Linked DNA regions of Caenorhabditis elegans. The protein of the gene in region 1 purifies or fractionates together with the protein of each later gene. This does not show direct contact. Each region holds a gene or a part of one and is shown on either strand. Other genes may lie near its edges. The genes, in order: ZK795.3, hrg-11.4 and fbxl-3.

The links.
Region 2: the proteins of ZK795.3 (region 1) and hrg-11.4 fractionate together in Caenorhabditis elegans (co-fractionation; one large-scale study listed by BioGRID). This does not show direct contact.
Region 3: the proteins of ZK795.3 (region 1) and fbxl-3 fractionate together in Caenorhabditis elegans (co-fractionation; one large-scale study listed by BioGRID). This does not show direct contact.

The regions. Positions count from the first base shown.
Region 1 is NC_003282.8:12,556,240-12,563,097, reverse strand, and holds ZK795.3 (Brix domain-containing protein ZK795.3), read right to left. Parts: upstream 3,734-6,858; 5' UTR 3,733-3,733; coding exon 3,614-3,732; intron 3,559-3,613; coding exon 3,492-3,558; intron 3,447-3,491; coding exon 3,252-3,446; intron 3,179-3,251; coding exon 2,812-3,178; intron 2,652-2,811; coding exon 2,521-2,651; 3' UTR 2,426-2,520; downstream 1-2,425. Other genes in the region: snb-7 (V-SNARE coiled-coil homology domain-containing protein), read right to left, coding at 1,922-2,230; ZK795.2 (DsbC domain-containing protein), read left to right, coding at 4,172-4,212, 4,317-4,419, 4,730-4,863, 4,945-5,008, 5,055-5,111, 5,270-5,402, 5,570-5,678, 5,728-5,965.
Region 2 is NC_003284.9:422,833-429,690, reverse strand, and holds the start of hrg-11.4 (VWFA domain-containing protein), read left to right. Parts: upstream 1-4,055; 5' UTR 4,056-4,065; coding exon 4,066-4,162; intron 4,163-4,501; coding exon 4,502-4,691; intron 4,692-5,622; coding exon 5,623-5,865; intron 5,866-5,962; coding exon 5,963-6,214; intron 6,215-6,468; coding exon 6,469-6,548; intron 6,549-6,595; coding exon 6,596-6,741; intron 6,742-6,858. Other genes in the region: Homeobox protein dve-1, read left to right, coding at 186-348, 399-698, 1,004-1,151, 1,692-1,870, 1,921-2,004.
Region 3 is NC_003280.10:5,395,453-5,402,310, forward strand, and holds fbxl-3 (Putative RNA-binding protein EEED8.10), read right to left. Parts: upstream 3,451-6,858; 5' UTR 3,431-3,450; coding exon 3,368-3,430; intron 3,220-3,367; coding exon 3,095-3,219; intron 3,039-3,094; coding exon 2,938-3,038; intron 2,886-2,937; coding exon 2,764-2,885; intron 2,711-2,763; coding exon 2,610-2,710; intron 2,553-2,609; coding exon 2,471-2,552; intron 2,423-2,470; coding exon 2,099-2,422; exon of another isoform or gene 2,034-2,098; coding exon 1,447-2,033; intron 1,397-1,446; coding exon 1,012-1,396; intron 970-1,011; coding exon 759-969; intron 705-758; coding exon 589-704; 3' UTR 440-588; downstream 1-439. Other genes in the region: pink-1 (Serine/threonine-protein kinase pink-1, mitochondrial), read right to left, coding at 1-129, 180-227; putative pre-mRNA-splicing factor ATP-dependent RNA helicase mog-5, read left to right, coding at 4,087-4,257, 4,442-4,699, 4,751-5,525, 6,787-6,858.

The DNA.
Region 1 (6,858 bases):
GTGAATTTGTTTTTCCACTTCGTGTAGATCACGCGTAGATCACAATTAATTTGTGAAAAGCATCAGAACTACGAAATATGAAATAAATACTTTATGATCTACATGCGATCTACGAAAATTTTACACAGAATCTGCTAAAAATGATGACTAATTGCGCGGCAAGACCATTCCGCATAAATTCGCCCCCTTTAGTCGTAGTCGTAGAAGTGGTAAAACACATGCACTGTATTACTGGAAGATTTTTCGCGCGACGAGAGACTCTTCAAAATCTAGTGAAATTACAAGACATTTCCTTTTAAAAATATTTCCAGATTCGATCAAGCAAAATACGTTTTACAGACACGATGACAGTCAAGAAGCATATCTTCAAAATTCAAAATCATCCAGACATCAATTTGCACAGCTCACAGGATTCGAGTCATTTGCTCATCGAGCTCAACGAAATTCTCTTCTCGAGAATTATGATACAGTTCAGAGTTTCTTATGGGGAGTCGTGGAGGTTTGTTTTTGTACAGCTGACATCAAAATCATTAAAAATTTTCAGAGATGTCGCGGGCTATGCGAAAAAGAGCTGGCAGTGCTGATTGATGTTTCAGCTCAATGCAGTCAACAGGATAATAATGGAAATAATGAAATTTCGACGATTGCTGAAATGAATTGGGATTCCTTATGCACTTGTATAGGGTATATTACAAATCCGACGCAAAAGTACAGCAGCAGGTCTCGACACGATTGCAACATTTTCGTGCAAGACAGTGTGTCTTTGAAGAGTATTGTATTTCACGTTCTCCTGATTTCTTCGTTTCTTTCTCAAGTTTCTACTCATTTTCCCGAACTGCACGAAAAAAAATGGGAAAATAACAAGACTTTCGGATTTTTTCTGAAGAAATTTCGACTTTTTTGGAAGTAAATTTTCAAATTTCAAAAAAAATTTTCAATATTTTTGCAATTTTTTCAAAATTGCACATCCAAAATTATCTGGTAAATTCTACATTTTTCCCAATTTCTAAACTTTCAAAAACAAAACATTGAAATATTTCATGAAATTTTTTAAATCGAAAATCTGAAAATTTCGGTATATATAAGAATGGAGTGGTTCACAAAGCAGTGCATGGTGCCGTACATGTGTTGACCGGTTCATTTTTTTTCTACAGAAAATGCACATACAAGCCGCCATCTCTCCCCTACTACATAGTAGGATTTCGTTTCAAACTTCAAAAACCTGATATGAAAGTTGCACTAAATGTTTTTCGTAGATTCAAAGAACGACTAACGGTTTGGGGATATTTTGAGCCAAGTCTCAAAATAACGAAATTCGTTACTAAAAAATCAGATCAATTTTTTTCGAAATTTTGAACCGCCATAAAATTTTTTGAGAAGTCTCATAACGATATTCTAATTCTTGATTATATAATTTTATTTGAAAATCGCTGAAGCCGGTCATTCCCAGTCATACATCGTATTTTCAGAAAGCACACCGCGGATCCAGACGAAACCCGGCTTCGGACGAAATTCCAGCCGCTGCTCTCATTTCTGTTAATGAGAGAGGATTTGTTCTGAAAGTAGCCCCAGTCAATAAGAATGGAGTGGTTCACAAAGCAGTGCATGATGCCGTACATGTGTTGACCGGTTCATTTAAAAAAAACAAGAGTGAATATTGGTGCATTCAAAAGCTTTTCGTGATCCGGCTCCCCTGCCCGATGGTGAATAGGCTCCGGAACCTCTAATCCCCAATTGCCACTTTCTCAGTCTTCTTTGATCCTTTACATCACCTGTAATTCCACTTTCATCAGTTTTTTGTATCTCCTGTGTCATTTAAACGCCGCAAGACCCCTGTGTGCCTTTAAATGATCACTACATTCCATTATTTATTGTACACACAAAGCGTAATGCCAATAAATAGTTTTGATAGAGAAATGATTTATAGGAACGAATAGGCAAGTCCTGCAAATGCGGAGACACTTGACACAGCAATGATCCCGTAGCGAAGAGAATTGGCCTTCCAGCTCATCTCTCGTTTTATCTTGACGGCGCATTTGACGTACACATCCGATGCCTCCTCGAGCCTCTGAGCTCTTTCAACAAGATCATCAAGTTTTCCCTGTCTCTCCATGATTTTTTGCACATTCTCCTTCATAATGGCCTTCACCGAATCCAATTCTCTTCTTGTTCTCATAATCTTTTGATCGTCCCAACCGACACGGCTCACTGGTGGTGGTTGATGATTCATGCAGTAATTAGTGTCCGTTATTCCAGAACTGTTTTAAATTTGAAACTGTCTTGACAGGCTTTGATCTTTGAATTCATAATATTTTCCCGCCGCCCGTCCCCATGTCCTGCCGCCGTGAGCTAAACAATGGTTGTTATTATTTCGACAATTTTTAAATGTTCTGTAATTTTTGAATCAAAAATTCTAAAAATCTTTTTTCGAATAAAAATTAATTTCATGAACGAAACAAAAACAATTTCAAGGAGAAAACAATAAAAATCAACAAAACATTTTTAGAGAACAAAATATTTTCATTCGTCGTCATCAGCTCTGGAGATGCTGAGGAATGTACGTTTACGGGCAGTATTTGTGTAGGATCTGAGCACCCATTCGTCTTCGGCAGCCGCCAGAGTCTCGAGAGTTCCCAGCTTGATTTGGTAGGCTGAAAATTTGGAAATTAAAAAAAAAATCAAAATACTTTGAAATGTGAATATTTCATATTTCTCGCTTAGTGTTTAATTTCAGCGCAAAATTGTGCTTCGATAAAATAGAAAATGCCCATAATTGTTTCAATTTCCGCTCTTTTATCAAAATTTTCTTACGTTTGAGCTCAAATCTTGGTCCAGCTTCAGTCAGTTCGACTTCTCCGTCATTTTCAGTTTTATAGACGTGATGTCTGAAACTGATGTAATCTTCTGAATTGGAAAATGTGATGATTCGCTTTGAATCCGGTTTTGGCACCGGGAACAAGTGTTTGAGGATTGTGGTGAAACGATGTCCCAATTTCGAATTTAAATTGTCGAAAATCAAATGTGGATACTGTTCGGACATTGTTCCACAATTTGGAATATCGTGTCGCATTACGACATTTGCCATTGAAAAGAATGCAGTTGGACCGAATGGAAGATGACAAACAAGCATTCCATCTGGATTTCCACGTGTCTCCGTGAAGATAATCAGATCCGTTGACTGAAAAATTAATTTCATATTAGAAAATTACTGAAAAGCTGATAAAATTTCAAATATTCAATTTTCCACTAACATCTTGAGCCTTGGACGCTTGCACAACTTGCTTAACATCATAATGACCACGATTGATTCTCTGTGCGTTTGGAAAGATGAGCTTCATCTCCTTGGCGAACATTTTCAGCCGACTTGATGGATCACGGGACGTCGTGATCACAATTTTTGGATCTTGAGCTCCAGCCCAACGATACTCGCTGTCTGTTTCGTATTGCTGAACAAAAATTATTGAAACTTCATCAAAAATCGCGAAAATTACCTGTCCTCCCCAATCGGAGCCTTTCGCCAATTCGATTGCGTCTTTTCGCAGATTATAATCGATTTTTCTGAAAATATTCGTATATTACGAATTTTTCAACATATAAAAGCAAAAAAACTAACGTATTATTCTCCAAAGCATTGCGAATTTTCTCTCGTTTTTCCTCCAAACTTTTCTGTTTCTCCTCCAACGATTTTCGGAAGATAAACTCGCGGCGAAGACGATTCTCGCGGCGAATCATTCTGAAATTTTTCAAAAATTCAATTTTTAAAATTAAAATCAGATGTAAATCGAATATAACATCGAAATTTCCCATAAAAATGCCTAAGAAAAAATAAATAAAACTATTGTGCGTCAGATGAAATGCCTCATACGTAATGTACGCAAAAGTGTACCTGCAAGAAAATGCGCGCGAGTTTTAAATTTAGTTTTTTTCTGAAAAAGTTCAAGAAGTATTTCGTTGAAACTCATGGAATTTTATCATAAATAAAATAATTAATTAAAATCTAGAAAAATTAATTAATCGATATTGTTTTGTACTTGAAAAATAAAACTCCGAAAAATAAAACAAAACGTGACCGTTTGCCATTTGGCAAATATTCAACATTTGAAATTAAAGAAAGCAATAATTAATCCAAAAAATCAATCATTGTGAAATCAAATCGATTCGTTGTTCAGTAATGATCATATCCATTGGTTTCTTACTGTTCTTGGCTATAAGGTGAGTTGGAAGAGTGGAAATTCCAATGTTTCAGATCTCTTCGTGAGAAATTCCAGACTTTTCTGTCAAGTTCTAGTTCTATTTCTTAAAAGTTTAATTTCCAGCCCATGTCATTCTCAAAGTGGTTCACTTTCCGGTTCAGGTGCAATTAAGATGGTCGTGATGGGGAAGGACACTGATGTCGCCTGGCAAAAGACAATTGACGGGGTAATATTTGAAATCTTGTCAGACATGGTGCATCGGAAAGTGTGCGGTACATACGTGATGCCAGAGTGTCTCCTTTCGGCTTGATCTGCGTAGATCTACAAAAAATGCGGGAAAAGAGACGCAGAGTTCTCAACTGATTTTGCATGGTTAAGAACGTGCTGACGTCACATTTTTTTTGGGCGAAAAATTTCCGCATTTTTTTGTAGATCAAACCGTGATGGGACAACCTTGCCCTACGTGAGTACATGGTCACATTATGCATCAGATTTCACGCGCAAGTCACGAATTTTTAAATGTTTGGTTTTTCCAGATTGCCTTGTACATTGCAAAGCATCAGGTGAAATCTCCGCAAATATTCGTTCATGAGAACGGAAGTATTTGCGAATTCATCGGAGGTGTCGATAGATCAAAGATGCGAGCCGACTTCATTCTGGTTATCAAAAAGTAGGCTTGAAATTTCTTCGGAGAATTGTCTTGGCCTCATGGACCTTTTTTTATATTCTGATAAAAAGGGGTTTTTTTCAGACATACCAGCCAAAAATTGAAGTGTGATCCTGAGTGGGGACGTCAAAGTTTTGGGGTTTTGAATGTGAGTTGCCGAGATGTCGGATCACTTTTTTAAATTCGAATTTCAGATCGAAAAGTACCCAACTTTGTCCCAAACTGATGAAGATTTGGCTTTCACCGCAAAGGTAAAAATTTTATTTGAAAAATCACAAAATGCAAGTGAGCTCTACCAAAAAAAGTGTAGTTCTCCTCTAGTGCAAGGTTTTAGAACCTTTTACACTGAAAACTCGTGGAAAATTTAATTTGCAATTTAAGAATATGCCGAAATCACCGAATTTTTCAGATAATCTTCAACTCATCAGAGACGGGTTCTGCAAAACCAAAAACTGTAAAATCCATGGACCAACTGATCAAAATCCTCGAACCAAAGTTTATGGCTCCGCTGAGTCGGATTCCGGATGAATATCCAGAAACAGGTACGGTAACTCCCCCCCCCCTCCATGGAGTCATAATGTCTTATTTCGATTTGATCTTCGAAAAAATGCGGGAGCTGAGACGCAGGCATCTCATCTGGTTTTGCATGGTTAAGAGCCCGCTGACGTCACAATTTTTCTGGAAAAATATTCACGCAAAAATATTTCAGCCGAACGCGAAGAAAAACGGAACCGACGAATTTTGAAGGCCATAATTGCACTTATGGGACTCGCTTTGTGCTCTTTACTGGTCATCATGTTCATGGGAAGTTTGTCAAGGTATGAGATGCACAATGGAAGATTTTTTTAACCTGGTTTTCTCTTCCAGATACAATGAGGCAAAGAAGCAAAAAGAGCTGGAACAGGAGAAACAAAAGAAGCATGAGCAGAAGACCGCTGAAAAATCGGAGAAAGCTGTAAAACCGGAAGCTTCTGAAAAATCTGTAAAGTCTGAGAAATCGGAAAAACCACAGAAAGCCGGTGAGAAGGAACCGCTGATTGATTCATCGAAGAAATCGGAAAAATCGGAAAAATCGGAGAAAGGTAGTGGAAGCAAGAAGGAGTAACTGTCGATACGTGGAAATGGAGAGAAAAGCAAACTTGCAACGAATAAATGTTTTTTTTTTGAAGTTCATGTTTTTTCTACTGTAATTATAGACGACTTTGAAGCCAGGAGCTTGAATTTTCGGCGATCGCAATTAGCTAGTACCCCTTTTTGGTTTGATCTTTGAAAAATGCGGGGGTTGAGACGCAGACTTTTCAACTAATTTTGCATGGATAAGAAGAGAAGAGCTTACGTCACATTTTTCTGGGAAACAAATTCCCGCTCTTTTGTTAGATCAAACAGCAACGGGACAGCCTGACACCATATAACTTCTAATAAATGATTTGCAAAGCGGGGACATCATTGATGGGTTACTGTAGAATATGCCGCGTGGCTCGGTTCCCTTGTCAAAACGCAAATATATTAAAGAAATAGTATGAAAGAATTTGGAGACGCAGAGATTTTTATGGGAATATTCAAATAAAAAATGAATAAAATGGCATTCAACTAGCGGAGAGAACCATTCATTCTACTTTTCGAATACCTGGTGGGTGTTCTCCTATTTTTTTTTCTGATACCTATTTCTTCTATTGCTAAATTTTTGCTGAAAGTTGTTAATTTACGAACGGAAATTAACATTTTTGTGGTTAGCTACTATCCCTACCACTCATCATGTCCGATTGAAAAGGTACGTATTGATGAAATTAAGGCACCAAAATTTAATGAAACATATTAGTGTCATGGGGACGAAATATAAGGGCAAATTTTCTGCTGAATAATTTTTATAGGAAAATTTTTAACATAACGTTAAAATATCCCACATTACGTCCAATTTAGTTATTTTCCAAGTTTTGAGCACCGAGTTTTTATAAAAATGCAGTACTCAACATGTTTTTAATCAATGATATTTTTTAC
Region 2 (6,858 bases), on another chromosome or scaffold:
TTTAAAGTGTATTTATACTCTTTAAAATGAATTAAGATATAACGTTTCAAAGTTAGGTAGTCGGGTGCAATACAAATAGAAGAAATACGCTACATGATTTTCTTTTCATTCCACTCTCAAGAAAGATAAACGCCTGCTTTCATATTACTTTCAGTACACATAATAATGTATGTATTTAATTTCAGCCCAACACAAGTACAAAGATTCAACACTCTTTACGAAATTCCACGTCTTGATAAATGGTTCAAATCCGATGCAAATCCATCTAAACAAAAAATGAACAATTACTTAAGCCAGCTCAATCAGAGTCCGTTCAGAAAGAACAATTCCAAGATCAGCTATCAACAGGTGAATTTAATGCGCCTACATATTACTCCATTAATCAAATGAATTTCCAGATTTGCAATTGGTTCACACAAAAACGCTCGAGTTCCCGTACCTTAGCTCCAGTAGACCTAGTGCAGGTCTCGTCAGCTCAGACAGCGGCGCAGCTGCTCCCGGGATTCCAACTCAACTTGCTCCAGTCCCTGTTTGGAGAACAACGTCAAAAATTTGATTTTTACGACAAACTGGATGAAACCAAGATTGTCGGCGGCTCCGACTCGCCATCTCCAGCCGATGATGAGATTCATAGCAATTCAGATGAAACTATTCAAGATACTTTGTTTTCCATCAATATTAAACCAGAACCGGAAATTGTAAGTTACGTTTGACTGTTTGTGCCATAGTTAGGTTGATTAGCGTTGCTCGTGCTGAAAAGCTTTGAAAAATCACGCTAAAAACGGATTTTCGGCTATTTCGATTCTGATTCACATTAAAGATAACATCTCCCAAATTGCTAAATATTACCGATAAGGTTATAAAGACCTAACACTACGGCCGAAAATCTGAATTTATTCCAAACTGTCAGCGTCGGCTGAGCGCCAATTAAAAATATTTTTCGACACAATTATGGTCCACCTTTAAAAATTATTCATCCCAAAACAAGCAACATTTCCTACAGGATTCAATTGCATCCTCCCCGGATATGGCAAACTCAATGCGCGAATCATTGTCCTCGACCTCCCCAAAGCTTCTCAGCGGGCTCGACCTCGGAGCATTCAGCACCCACTCATCATCCACCAACTCCATGCAAAACGCCAACTCATCAGGTACAACAAAGAGCTTTAAAACAGACAGGCTAACGGAAAAGAGAGGGAGATGGGTTGAACCAAGAACTCATAAATTAGAAGCGAGCACACACACACAAACACACATAGACATACACAAAGTGCGCGAAGACACATAACAAAGGGAGAAATGTGGGGCGTCGAATTTCGCACAGACAACCATTACGATCACTGAGATCTGAGGAAAAAAAAATGAGGCTAGGTATTGTGTTTACAGAAATAAAACAGAAAATCAACTGCAAACTTGATTTTGAGAAATATTCTAGGGATTTTGTACTGGCTCAAACTTATCGAGAAGGTGGCCATGTTCATGATACTCAGTCTGAAAACCTATATTGGTTGCTATCTCTAAAACGCTCTTAGATTGCGTTTGCTATGCATATGAAAAATGACTGCATAAAAATTCTCTATCTTTTCGACAAGAAAACTTTAAGGTGGAATTTTACTTCTATTTTTCGATAAAATCACTGACGCGGAACGTTTGAAAAAATTCAACGATAAAGCAAATAATCTCCGTTTTAGTGTTTTCAGCGGCTCGCTCACGCCTGATGTTCGACCCACTCACCGAGCTACCCGTCCTCGAAAAATGGTTCGAAGAGAATCCTCACCCGACATGGATGCAAATCGATCAGTACACACAATGCTTGAACAACTGCGCTTATCGAGAGAATTATCCGCATATTAGTCAGCACAATGTGAAGGTAATATTCTATATTAATACTGATTACTAGTTATCGAATTCGAATTGCAGATCTGGTTCAAAAATCGACGTGCAAAATGCAAGCGATTGTTGAATGGAATGCAGGAAAAGCTTGAGCAGAAGGTTTTCGTATAAAATTAAAATTTCCAACTTTTTTCAAAATCTTATTATCTTTAATTTCGAAAGAACATTAAGTTTTTCACATCAATAGTTCCTTCTTTAACCGTCATACTGGTGTACCCCTTGAATTCCTGATCTTCAGTGCCCCACAATTTCTCTTCAACGAAGAGCAAAATCACTACTTCATTTTTCATTCCAGCTGTGATTTTTGTCTGTAAGCTACACCTAATCGCTAGCTGTATATCTCGACGCATCTTTCGTTCTGCAAAACTTCTAGTCGCTTCTTGTCTTGTTTAACCTTGATGGGAAATTAAGCCGGCTTTAATTTCCTTCTTTCTTTCAATCAACAATTTCCCATCGCTTTCTTTGTCTCTTTCAATGTTCCACAGATCACATAGTTTTAATGGTTTTTCAATGTTTCCCTTCTTACCGTCACACTACTTTCCAATATTATTCATCTTAATTTTATGTCTACCACTTCCAATATCAATCTTGCCCACCGTTTTCTCAATTTTTTTTGTCAAATTTAAACTTTTCTCTGCTTTTCAGTTGTGCTTCAGCCCTTTATATGCCAAAAACTTTTATTCAGAATTTTGACATACAACCACGTTTATTTCTTTTTATTTGAATGTTTTGAGAAATAAAGTTTTTTTTTTCAGAAAAAAAATTTTACAAAAAATGGTCAATTTTTTATTTAAAAAATTGGCACACAAAAATAAAAACAGACATGATTGTAGGAGAAAATTTTCAGACTTTTCAAGAAATTATAACTTTTAAAAAGCTATTTTTGGAGAAAAAAGCTCCCTATTTTAACAATAAAGTTTTGAGCCATTTCACGCGTGCACCAAAAAAAATGTCTGAGAAAAATGTCAGGGGTACGAGTTGAGTTTTCCTTTTCAAATTTTTTGTAAAAAAATATTCAGAACACTATCTAGAGCGACAAAAAACTTGGTTGGTGAAAACTCGTTCTAAAATCTGGCACTGAAGTTACTTCCTTCCGCTAACAACTTGTCAGGTGCAATCTAAGTTTCGACTAAAAAAAACAATTATTATTTCAAAGCTGGATAATTTATTCGAATTTTCGAAATATTGCAGAACTGAAAAGAAAAGAAGTTTTCCATAAACTTGGATTGTCAGTCAAATCTTGCAAGGACGTACACGTTGTAGGTTTGCCTTGGAAGAGGTCGTCCACTTCAACATGCAGTCCAGTTATACTCACTAGGAAAGTAATTTAACTCACTTTCAGACTTTCAAATTGAATTTATAAGAACTTAAAGCGGGTTTTCATCAAAAAATAACAATGGAATATAAAGAAGTCGATTTGATATTCTCCGAGCACGTTTTCACTGCTTTTGTAACGTTTGCAACTATTACAAATGAGGAAGTTTGCAATTTTGTAATGCTTTTAATAAAGTCTAAAAATAGGCAAAACAATTTAATAAATTTTTTTTTTTAAATATTTCAGAATTTTTGTTCAGCCTAAAACGTCTTAACAATTGCCTCAAAATCTTTTTAAAGCAGTTTTATTTATACTTTTGCGGAAACTTTGCAATAATCCTATAAATAGCATAAATAAACATTTTTTAAAGTGAAAACAAAGTTTCATTGGTGGTTTAAAAAATTTATAAAGCTTTATAGAACGTTGCCAGTGTAATACAACTGTTAAAACATAACTCACTTGAATAAATCACATGAAAAATTGTTTGATTAATAAAAAAACTTGTAAGTAACAAAAAACCTGCAAGTTCTCGACTGTAAAAACAACAGCTGGAAGCAAAGTGGAACGCTTAACCATTTTTATTTCTGTTTCCCACTGTCTTTTCCAGAAGTTCCTGAAATGTAAACATTTTAAACTGAATTTTCACAACACATCAACCTCTGCTCTATTCGAATTCTAGATGAGAACAACTTGCCAATGGAAGAGTATAATCGCATTATCAGTGACAACTAATTTAAGAGCCTCAATTGGATAAACTAACTTTTTCAAACAAAAAAAACCTGATAACAATTTTATTTAGTTTTATTTAATTATTACATTAAGAAATATCTTCTAAATAAAGACGATTTTTCAGTAAAATGCTCAAATTTGTAATTACAAGTATTCTACTACTGCGGGTCTGTAGTGGAGTAAGTATTCCCAATAAAAGTCAACACGGCGAACTAACGAAAAGCTGTAAGTTTAAGTAAAAAACACGTAAAATTGAAAATATTGGCAAAAGTTTGACATATTGAAAAAACACAGCAGGCTTACTTAAAAATGTTTACATCATAAGTTCTGGTCCGAGTCACAACTACACGAAAGGTATTGAGCTCACTTTTGTGCTTCTAGCGGGAATTTTTATTTGATGAATTAAATAACCAACTAAGAACAATTTTTTCAAGAGTGAATTTGGTGGAAACGCCAGTGGATTCTCTTTCTGGCTAGGCCAAGCCAACACATTTAATAGAACCTCTTCAAATCTTTACAGAAAACGTTTTTTGACCAGTTTTAGCCAGAGGGATTAAATTTCAGTGAATTCGAAACTCAAACAACTTGTTGCACTAAATCTATCGGAACCTTCTCAACGGGTTCAACCTACCTTCTCTTCAAGACCGAAACTGTTGGATCAAACCTCTCCAGTGACATGCTACAATAAGTCAATTGATATACTGCCTCATGACGGTACTGCAAAATTTGGTGATTTAGTGGAGAGTGATTTCAGGTATACATTTTTAGTAGGGAATATTGTAGAAAATCGTGGAGTGCTCGGAGATTGCTAACCAGCAGTTCTAAAAATTGAGCCTGTGGGACATTTTCACTCAGTGTTTTCATTAAAATTTAGGAATAGAATCTGGAAAATGTTAATTCTAGTTAAAGGTGGAGTGGCGCCAGTGGGGAAATTTCTTTAAAACACGCCTATGGTACCAAAATGACCGAATATCATGATAAAAAAATGCAAAAATTTTTTCTAATTTTAAAATTTGAAAATTGAAAAAATCTCAGTTTTTGCCTAATTCCGATTTGAGTTTACGCCAATTGGATTTGTTCGATGGAGCGCACTTGCACGTTTTAATTTTAATTTATTGTTATTTTGTCATATTTTTCACCAATTTTCCATGTTTTCAATGTAGTTTTGTCTGAAATTTGACGAAAAAGTCAAAATAAATGCTAATTTTTGATTAAAAAGCTAATTCACAAGCGTGAGTCTGTGAAATCTGTAAATTCAAGTTCGAAATCGTTTAAATGCATGCATTTTCTTTCAAAATAACAATAAATTAAAATTAAAACGTGCAAGTGCGCTCCATCGAACAACTTCAATAGGCGGAAATTCAAATCGGAATTAGGCAAAAACTGAGATTTTTTTCAATTTTCAAAAAATCATATAAAATTTAGAAATTTTTTTTGAATTTTTTAATCATGATATTCGGTTATTTTGGTACCATAGGCGTGTTTTAAAGTACTCGAAAAAAAATACTCGAAAATTGTCAAAAACGTGAAACTTGTTGTTGATAGTAAAATTGCCATTTTTCATTTTTCCGGTTTCTATTTGCGATTTAATAATAATCTAAAACTCTATCTGGATTTTCATTACGTTATTCGAGAACCAATACCAGATTAATAACATGTTTCATAATACATACACATATCTTCAGTGCGACTTGCTCCGACACTTTCACTTTTTACGTCGACAATTTTATCGAAGAGTTCTTTGTAATTATCAATACACTCGACGCCCTCAATCCGCGGGCAACAGTTTATAATCCGATTGGAGGCGAAGTGTCCACATGCAAAGATATCACCACGGACGTCACTCAAACAATTCACCTTATCTGCAACGGAAAGAATGTTCACGGAACTGGAGCGTATACGGTTCAGCTCTCTGCAGATTTGAACAAGTGAGCACACAATTAAAACAAGATGACCCAAATTGTGAAAAAAAAATCAAAAAAAGACTCTTGAAATCTTATCTCATTTAAAAATAAAATCATTCAGACCGTGTATATTTGAAGTCCGAGCTCCAACAAAGCTGACAGTTGATGGTGGGTTTGTAGAGGATGTTCGTGACGATGACGTTCAGAAAGTAATATTTTCCACTGCAAATCAAGGAATATTCCGTTTCCCACTTGAAAATCAGGCAGCATTTTTAGCATTTAAAGTCGAGAGTGAAGAATTTCCAATTCATCCCGATGAGGTGCATCTTTATGTAAACGGCCTATTCGATCAGAAAATGGATTTGAACTTGAGGTGAATGTTTGAGAGTGATAAAAATTTGGAATTGAGTAATTTTTTTCTACATTATTCAATAGAATCAATTTTTCTACATTATTCAATTTTGGATGATCCAAAAAAATTGAAGGAAAGTAAACTTTTTTCTGTTGAAAAAAATACATGTTTATATTGCAGAAGCATTTTTTAATTCAAAAATAAAGCCTGAACATTTAGATTTAACAAAGATGAATCATGAACATAATTGCTTTGGCAGAAAAACCATTTTTCAGATACGGCTGCAGTACCCCTCATATCACTCAACAATCTTATAACTGTACGTCTCAAAACTTGTATCATGCCAAGTTCAGAGGTATTTCTCCTTTCTATTTTCTCCCTTCTCTCATTGTCGGTTTCTAGGATACGATAGTGATGGAAACAGGTTCCAGAGAATCTACGACTTTAGCTGTGACCTAAGTGAAATTACATTCACAACACCTTCCGTGCACGTTTCGACGACGCCAGCAAGGTTTTGTGAAAATGGAGGAATTCTGTATAATGAAACGGTACGTAGGTGGCTTTATTTTCAGGTGGACTGGGGCTGCCCGGCAAAAAAATTTTTTTAACTGGACTATATTTCGAAGGACAATCTTGGTATAATTTTCTATTTTGGTAAATAATTC
Region 3 (6,858 bases), on another chromosome or scaffold:
TCGTAGAGCATTTTGTCGTGGAAATGGAGCCTTTTTGAGTACGACATGAACTCCTAAATTATAAGTGGCGGGAAATATTCTCGGCAGGAAGCGTTGGAAAATTGGTAGTCGTCCACCTTTTGCAACTAACTAAAAAATTTCAATTTAACGATTATAAAAAAGAACGATTTTGAAGATACCTCATTTGCGATTCGATATGCTGCTTTTCCGAATCGTTTCATAGACATTCTTACTTCTATACACTGAAAATATTATAAGTATTATAATTTAATATAATTTTTTGGTTTTTTAAGAGAAAAACGACAAAATTCCGAGAGAAAAAAATATTTTGAATTTAAAAAAATTCGAAAAAGCATCACTTTTTCTCATAATGTTTAAAATTGAAACAAATATCAAAGAACGGTTGAAAACCCGTAATTTTTTCAAAACGGGTCTCTAAGAAATCGAAAATTTCATTAGACTAGTTACAAAAAAAATGACAAGAAAAATGCTGAAAATGACAAAAAATGTTATTATCAATAAATAAGAACCTATAATTGCAATAAAACGGATGAAATTGTTTCCTTCGTTCGATAAAATTCTGAAGCTTTAATCCTTAATAAGCCCGAGGCTTCTTGCTTCTTTTTCAGCCCATTCCGCCAATTTTCCATCGTCTGTAATTGGTGATTCTTCTTCTCCACAGACAGCATCAATGTAGAAACTTCCTGAAAATTTTTGAATAATAGTTTTTAAAGAACTAAATTAATCTTAAAACATACTTTGTGCGGTCAATGCTTCAAATTCATCATCCGAGCCTTCAGCGTCTGACGCTGATCCTCCAATGGCAAACTTGGATGACGAACATTGGCTTGTCTGCATCGTGACAATCGTGGAATAATCGGAAAAGTCGACGACTACTCTTGATCCTCGAACTGACAACTTTGAAGCATCAGCGGCAGTTCCACCGACAACGAGGGTGATTGGTGGAAGCTAAATTTTATTTTTAATTTTATCCATTTCCTCCTAACGAACCTTTGGTCCTGATGGGAATGCTTTGATAAACTGTTGAATCGAGTCATTTGATACTAAAATTGAACCACTTAGATCCACGTGGCGGATATTTGGCATTCTAAGCTTCGCACGCACACCATCATCACCAAGATATGTGCAATTTCTCAGTTGAATAATTTCCAACTTTTTCAGTGAGCCCAGTTGCTCTAAAACTTTTGAATTGACAGCTGCCAGCGACGATGCATCAAGCTGAGTCAGTTCTTTTAGATTTTTAATCGCTGAAACTCCTTCTGCAGTGATCGACGAATCGTTTCCAGCGTTAGCAAGACTGAGTGATGAAAGAAGCGGTAGACCAGCTGATATTGAGATAAGAAGCTCATCATTAACAAGAGCGTTGTAGTCAAGGCTGAAACATTGATAAATATAATTTTAATCATAGGTTCAGATGGAACTTACGCCAATTCTGTAATATTTCTCATGTGACTAATATGAATCAATCCGGCTGACGTTAAACTTTTGAATCCATCCCCACATAATGTTAAGATTGAAAGATCTTCCATTCTTCTAGCGATCATACTCAGATTCTCATCTGTGATTTTATAGCATTCATTGATCCGTAATTCTTTGAGACCTCCACAACTGGTGCATAAATCTTCAAAAGCCATCTCATCTACTTTTGATGATCCATCCAAATATAAACTTTCCAGTTGTGACCCGAATAATTTGAATGATCGTCCGTGGAGCCGTTTTGAATTTCGTAAATCCACAAATTTAAGTGAATGACCACAGTTTTTAAGTAAAAAGTAGAATGCCTTGTCTCCAGTTGTTTCCATTCCTCTATAAGATAGCTGTTCTAAATGTGAAAGTGATTCTCCAAGTTCTTCGAGAGCTTCAGCCTGAGCATGAGTTCCACTAATATCAAGATCAACTAAATTCGGACAGCATGTTGCGATGACTTTAAGTGCTCGGCGATCATCAAGAAGATGCACAATTCCAGAAACATCAAGTGACCTCAAGTGTGCACCAGCACGAGTAAGAATCGCCTGAAATTTTTTATTTTTTATTAACTTTTTAAAACTAATTTTTTTAAATTTCAGCTCAAACTCATTTTAAGATGACTTGTTCTCATTGGTCGTTGCTTGTTGAATACAGTTTCTCTTGCCAATGCAATTTTATTGACAAGTTCCCAGGATTTAATTGATTCTTCCATGAACTTTTTATTAACTCGTTCCAATCGAATTGTTTCGTGAATTGGTAAAAATGAGATGACCCTTCTAAGAATTTTATCCGGGACGTTTCCCAAATTGAATGATTGCTCGGATCCTGAAGCTAACGACTGTGTAGATGAAGCACGGGACAATGGAGTATCTTCACGACTTCCAACATCATCACTGAGCACGAGACCTTTACCTCCACGTTTTTTCGATACATACTACAAGATAAATTGGTTTAAAAATTAAATCCCAAATCAAAAACTTACAGCTGAGACAACCATAACTTGATCATAAAACTTCAACTCTTCAGGATTCGCATTTTTCGCGCGATCAGCATGCTCAGACTTTCTGCAAAAATTGTATTATTAAAAAGACCTGAACAAACCAAAAAAATTTAAATTATACTTAAAAGTAATAGTAGCAGTTCCACAATTTCTGGAATGCTTTGGAAGTGTTCCGAACACTGATGTCTTTTTCTCTTCGCGAGGCAGAATGCAGCTGGTTATCTGGAAATTTAATTTTAAAATTTTATATTTAAATGATAATTAAAACAACACACTTTTCCATATTGAGAAAAGAAGGATTGAAGCTGTGATTGGGTGACTTTAGCAGAAATATTCGAAACCACGATTTTTCGATCATCACGAGAAGTATGTTGGAAAGCGATAGATGCATCGAAATCTGAAAAAAAAAACAATTATTGATTTTTTTTCCAAATTTTAAGATTTATTACCGTCTGTTTCTCCTCCATCAAATGCATCTCCATCGGCGAGTAACATTGGTAAAAGTCGTCGATATTTCATAAACTCTGCGGCAGAGTGGGACCAAGTTCGCCTGAAAATATTTTAATTTTAATTTAGAAAAAACCAGAGCTAAAATGTTGATATTACCTCAATTTTCCAATACTGAAAAACCGTGCCCTTGTGACAAATGACTGAAATGCTTCAGTCATATCATGAAGCCCTCGGCTCTCCAAGTTCTGTCCATGAAGCCGGCGGAGTGCTTTGAACATACTCTGAAAAATTGAAAATGTGTGAAAAAAACGTTTTTTCGAGAGAAAAGATAACAGAACCATATGATTTGATTTGGCTACTGTTCCCTAGTGTTTTCTTATCACATTAACATTTATTTGGTAGACAAAAAATCGAATTGTGTTCTCTAACCTGTTGTGATTTAGCACTTCCAGCGCTCCCGAGGTTCGATGTGAAGCTTCGATTGAAATCCATTTTTTAGGTTTAACTGTTTTCTGAAATTGAAACATTAATAATAAATTTGAAAACAATTTTGATCGATTTTCACTAGTCGTTGTTCGGAGGAGGAATGGCGCATGTTTACCAGTGAGTCGGGTTAGAGATTATACGGAAGTGAAGAGACGCAGAAAACGGGACATTCGGATGCTTGGGGACACATTGGTCACTATGAAACGTTCAAAAGCACCAATTCAAAGAAAATCTAGAAAATTTGCAGTTTTTGAACAGCTTTTAAATTTAAAATCATGCTTTAAAAGACCTTGTTTTTTGTTAACTTTGAAGGCAAAGGGTATTTGCAATAACGATTTTACATTAACACAAACTTATATATCCATTTTTGGAAATACTAAAATAAATTCAAAAAAACACAATGAAACATATTTACAAACGAAATGAAAGCCGGCAGCTTCAATAAAATAAAAAATAATTGTTGAAAAAATATAATTAAAGAAAGCTGCACACTGTGCGGCACAATTGCGAAAAAGCGGGCCGCAGTTTGCATGAAAGACCACGCCCACTATTTTAGATTTCGAATTTGTTTTTTTACTCTAATTTTCTATTGTTCGAGTTTTTCGGAATTAAAACTGCTTTAAAGAATTATTTTATTAAATTTTTTATCTGTAAATTTCAGGATGGACCAGCTTGAGCACCTCTCACTTGTGAGCAAGGTCCTCAGTGAAGTTGAGAACCATTTTGGTGTCGTCGAAAAAGATGTCGCTGAGTTTGTTATTCATTTGGCTCAAGAGAATCCAACATTTGATAAACTGAAAAAGGCTTTGGATAGTCAGGGACTTGGGGATCAGGTATGTTGAAATATGAGAAAATTTAACGACTAAATTATTTTTTTAAAGGAAATTTCAAAATTATTTTAATTCAAGGTGTTTTAAAATATTTTGATGAATATCAAATATCGAGATTTAAAAAAAACATTATTCGTCTCATAAATATAAAAGTCTCGATATTCCTCTCTTTAATTCTAAATTTCAGTTTGATGATTCCCTCACTGCGACCATACTTCGTATAGTACAAAGCATGACTGCTGTTAAAAAGAAAAACAAGAAAGGTGGTGATTCAAAAGAAGATATCAAGGATTCACACAAAATTACATTGATTTCTGATGCAAAAGAAGAAATTAAAGCACGACTTCCAGCTCTAGCGATGGCAAATACTGCGAAAGAAAAGGAAGATAATGAAGATGATCTTATGGCTCAGTTAGAAAAGATGGAAGGCCGATATGAAAGTGAGGTACGTATCTTTGATATTTGAAATTTGTTAAAATAAATTTTCCATTTACAGAAACGTCTTCAAAAGGAATCAGATTCAAAACGAAACCGTTCAAGAAGTCGATCAAGGAGTCGTGATCGAAAACGAAGAAGAAGTCGTAGTGGTGACAGGGATCGTCGGAGACGTAGTAGGAGTCGTGAAGACAGAAGAGATCGAGATAGGAGGGATCGGGACAGAGACAGAGACAGAGGACGTGGGGATCGAAGAGGAGACGACAGACAAAGAGATCGGCGTGATCGACGAGATGATGGTGGTGCTAGAAAATCCGAAGTTGCAGAAATCGGAAAAATCTACGATGGTCGTGTAAACAGTATTCAATCGTTCGGAGCTTTCATCACACTGGAAGGTTTCCGTCAAAAACAAGAAGGACTTGTTCACATCTCCCAAATTCGAAATGAACGAGTTCAAACCGTCGCAGATGTTTTGAAAAGAGGAGAAAATGTCAAAGTTAAAGTTAATAAGATTGAAAATGGAAAAATCTCGTTGTCAATGAAAGAAGTCGATCAGAATAGTGGAGAAGATTTGAATCCACGCGAGACCGACCTGAATCCGGATGCAATCGGAGTTCGTCCACGGACACCGCCAGCATCAACTTCCTCGTGGATGAATCCTGAAGCAAGTGGAGTAGGACAAGGTCCTTCGACCTCAATTGGTGGTGGAAAGGCGAGAGTTCGAATTTCGACACCTGAACGGTGGGAATTAAGACAAATGCAAGGAGCCGGAGTTCTCACAGCCACAGATATGCCTGATTTTGATGAAGAAATGGGAGTTCTAAGAAATTATGATGGTGAGTATTTTATTTATGATCTAGTAATTAATGATAAATTTGAAAAAAAAATTATTTTCTCTTGAAAATCACTAAATTATTTTTGAATTCCGCGCAAATGGTGCTTTATTTTGCTTACCGTATTTCCTCTATTAGTCTTGCACCCCTACGGGTCAATCTAAAATTAGTCTTGCAGCCTCTATTAGTATTGCATGCAAGACTAATAGAGAACATACGGTATTAGTCTTGCACCCCTATTCTTGCCAGACCAGCAGTATTTTGTGAAAACTTCAACAATTTCGCCATTTTATAGCTAAATTAAATTTTAAAGTGTTAAAATAATTGATAAAACAATAGAAAAGTATGTATTTTGCATGATTTAGACTGTTTCAAGTCAAATTTGTGACGATAAATGGCCAATTGAACAAATCTATCGGGTCTTCGAAAATTAGTCTTGCAGCCTCTAATAGTCTTGCAGTCTCTATTAGTCTTGCACCCCTACGGGTCAATCGAAAATTAGTCTTGCATGCAAGACTAATAGAGGAAATACGGTATATGATTTTTTAAAAATAATTTATATTTAAAAAAAAAACTGCAAAATTTTTTTAATTGAAAACAATTTCAATTTCTCTTGAAAATGACTAAAAATGATGTTTTACAGACATTTTTCCTTAAAAATTGACAGTAATTTATCGTTTTTAAGCCGATTTTTTATTTTCAACAAAATTTAAATTTGGTTTTCTTTACTGAAAAATGCCAAAGTATGACAAAAGATGCATCGGAGAATAAATATCGAATTTAGCCTGAAAAATGCGAATACTTTACAATTACGGCAATAATTTTCCCGGGAATTCAAATAAAATTAAAAATTAAGCAAGATTGAAAAAAAAACATGAAAAAAATGATGGTATAAAATTTATGATTTAATAATTTATCAAGAAAAATTGTAAAATTTTTTGAATTAAAACAAATTAATTTTTCCTGAAAATGACTAAATTGTTTTTGAATTCGCGCACGCAGACATTTTTCCTCAAAAATCGACACTAATTTATCGTTTTTAAGACGATTTTTTAGTTTCAACAGACAAGCCAAAATATGACAAAAGTTGCATATATCAAAGGAAAAATTTCGAATTTAGCAGGAAAATGCGAAAAATTACAAGGAAATGATTTTCCCGATAATTCAAAGACAATTTTTAAAAAAGCTAAATTTAAAAAAAAATCATTAAATATTTAAAATAAAGTTTCTATCATTTAAAGCACAACAATTTTTCAATTTTCAGATGAAAGTGATGGCGAGGATATTGAAATCGAGCTTGTCGAAGACGAACCTGACTTTTTACGTGGATATGGAA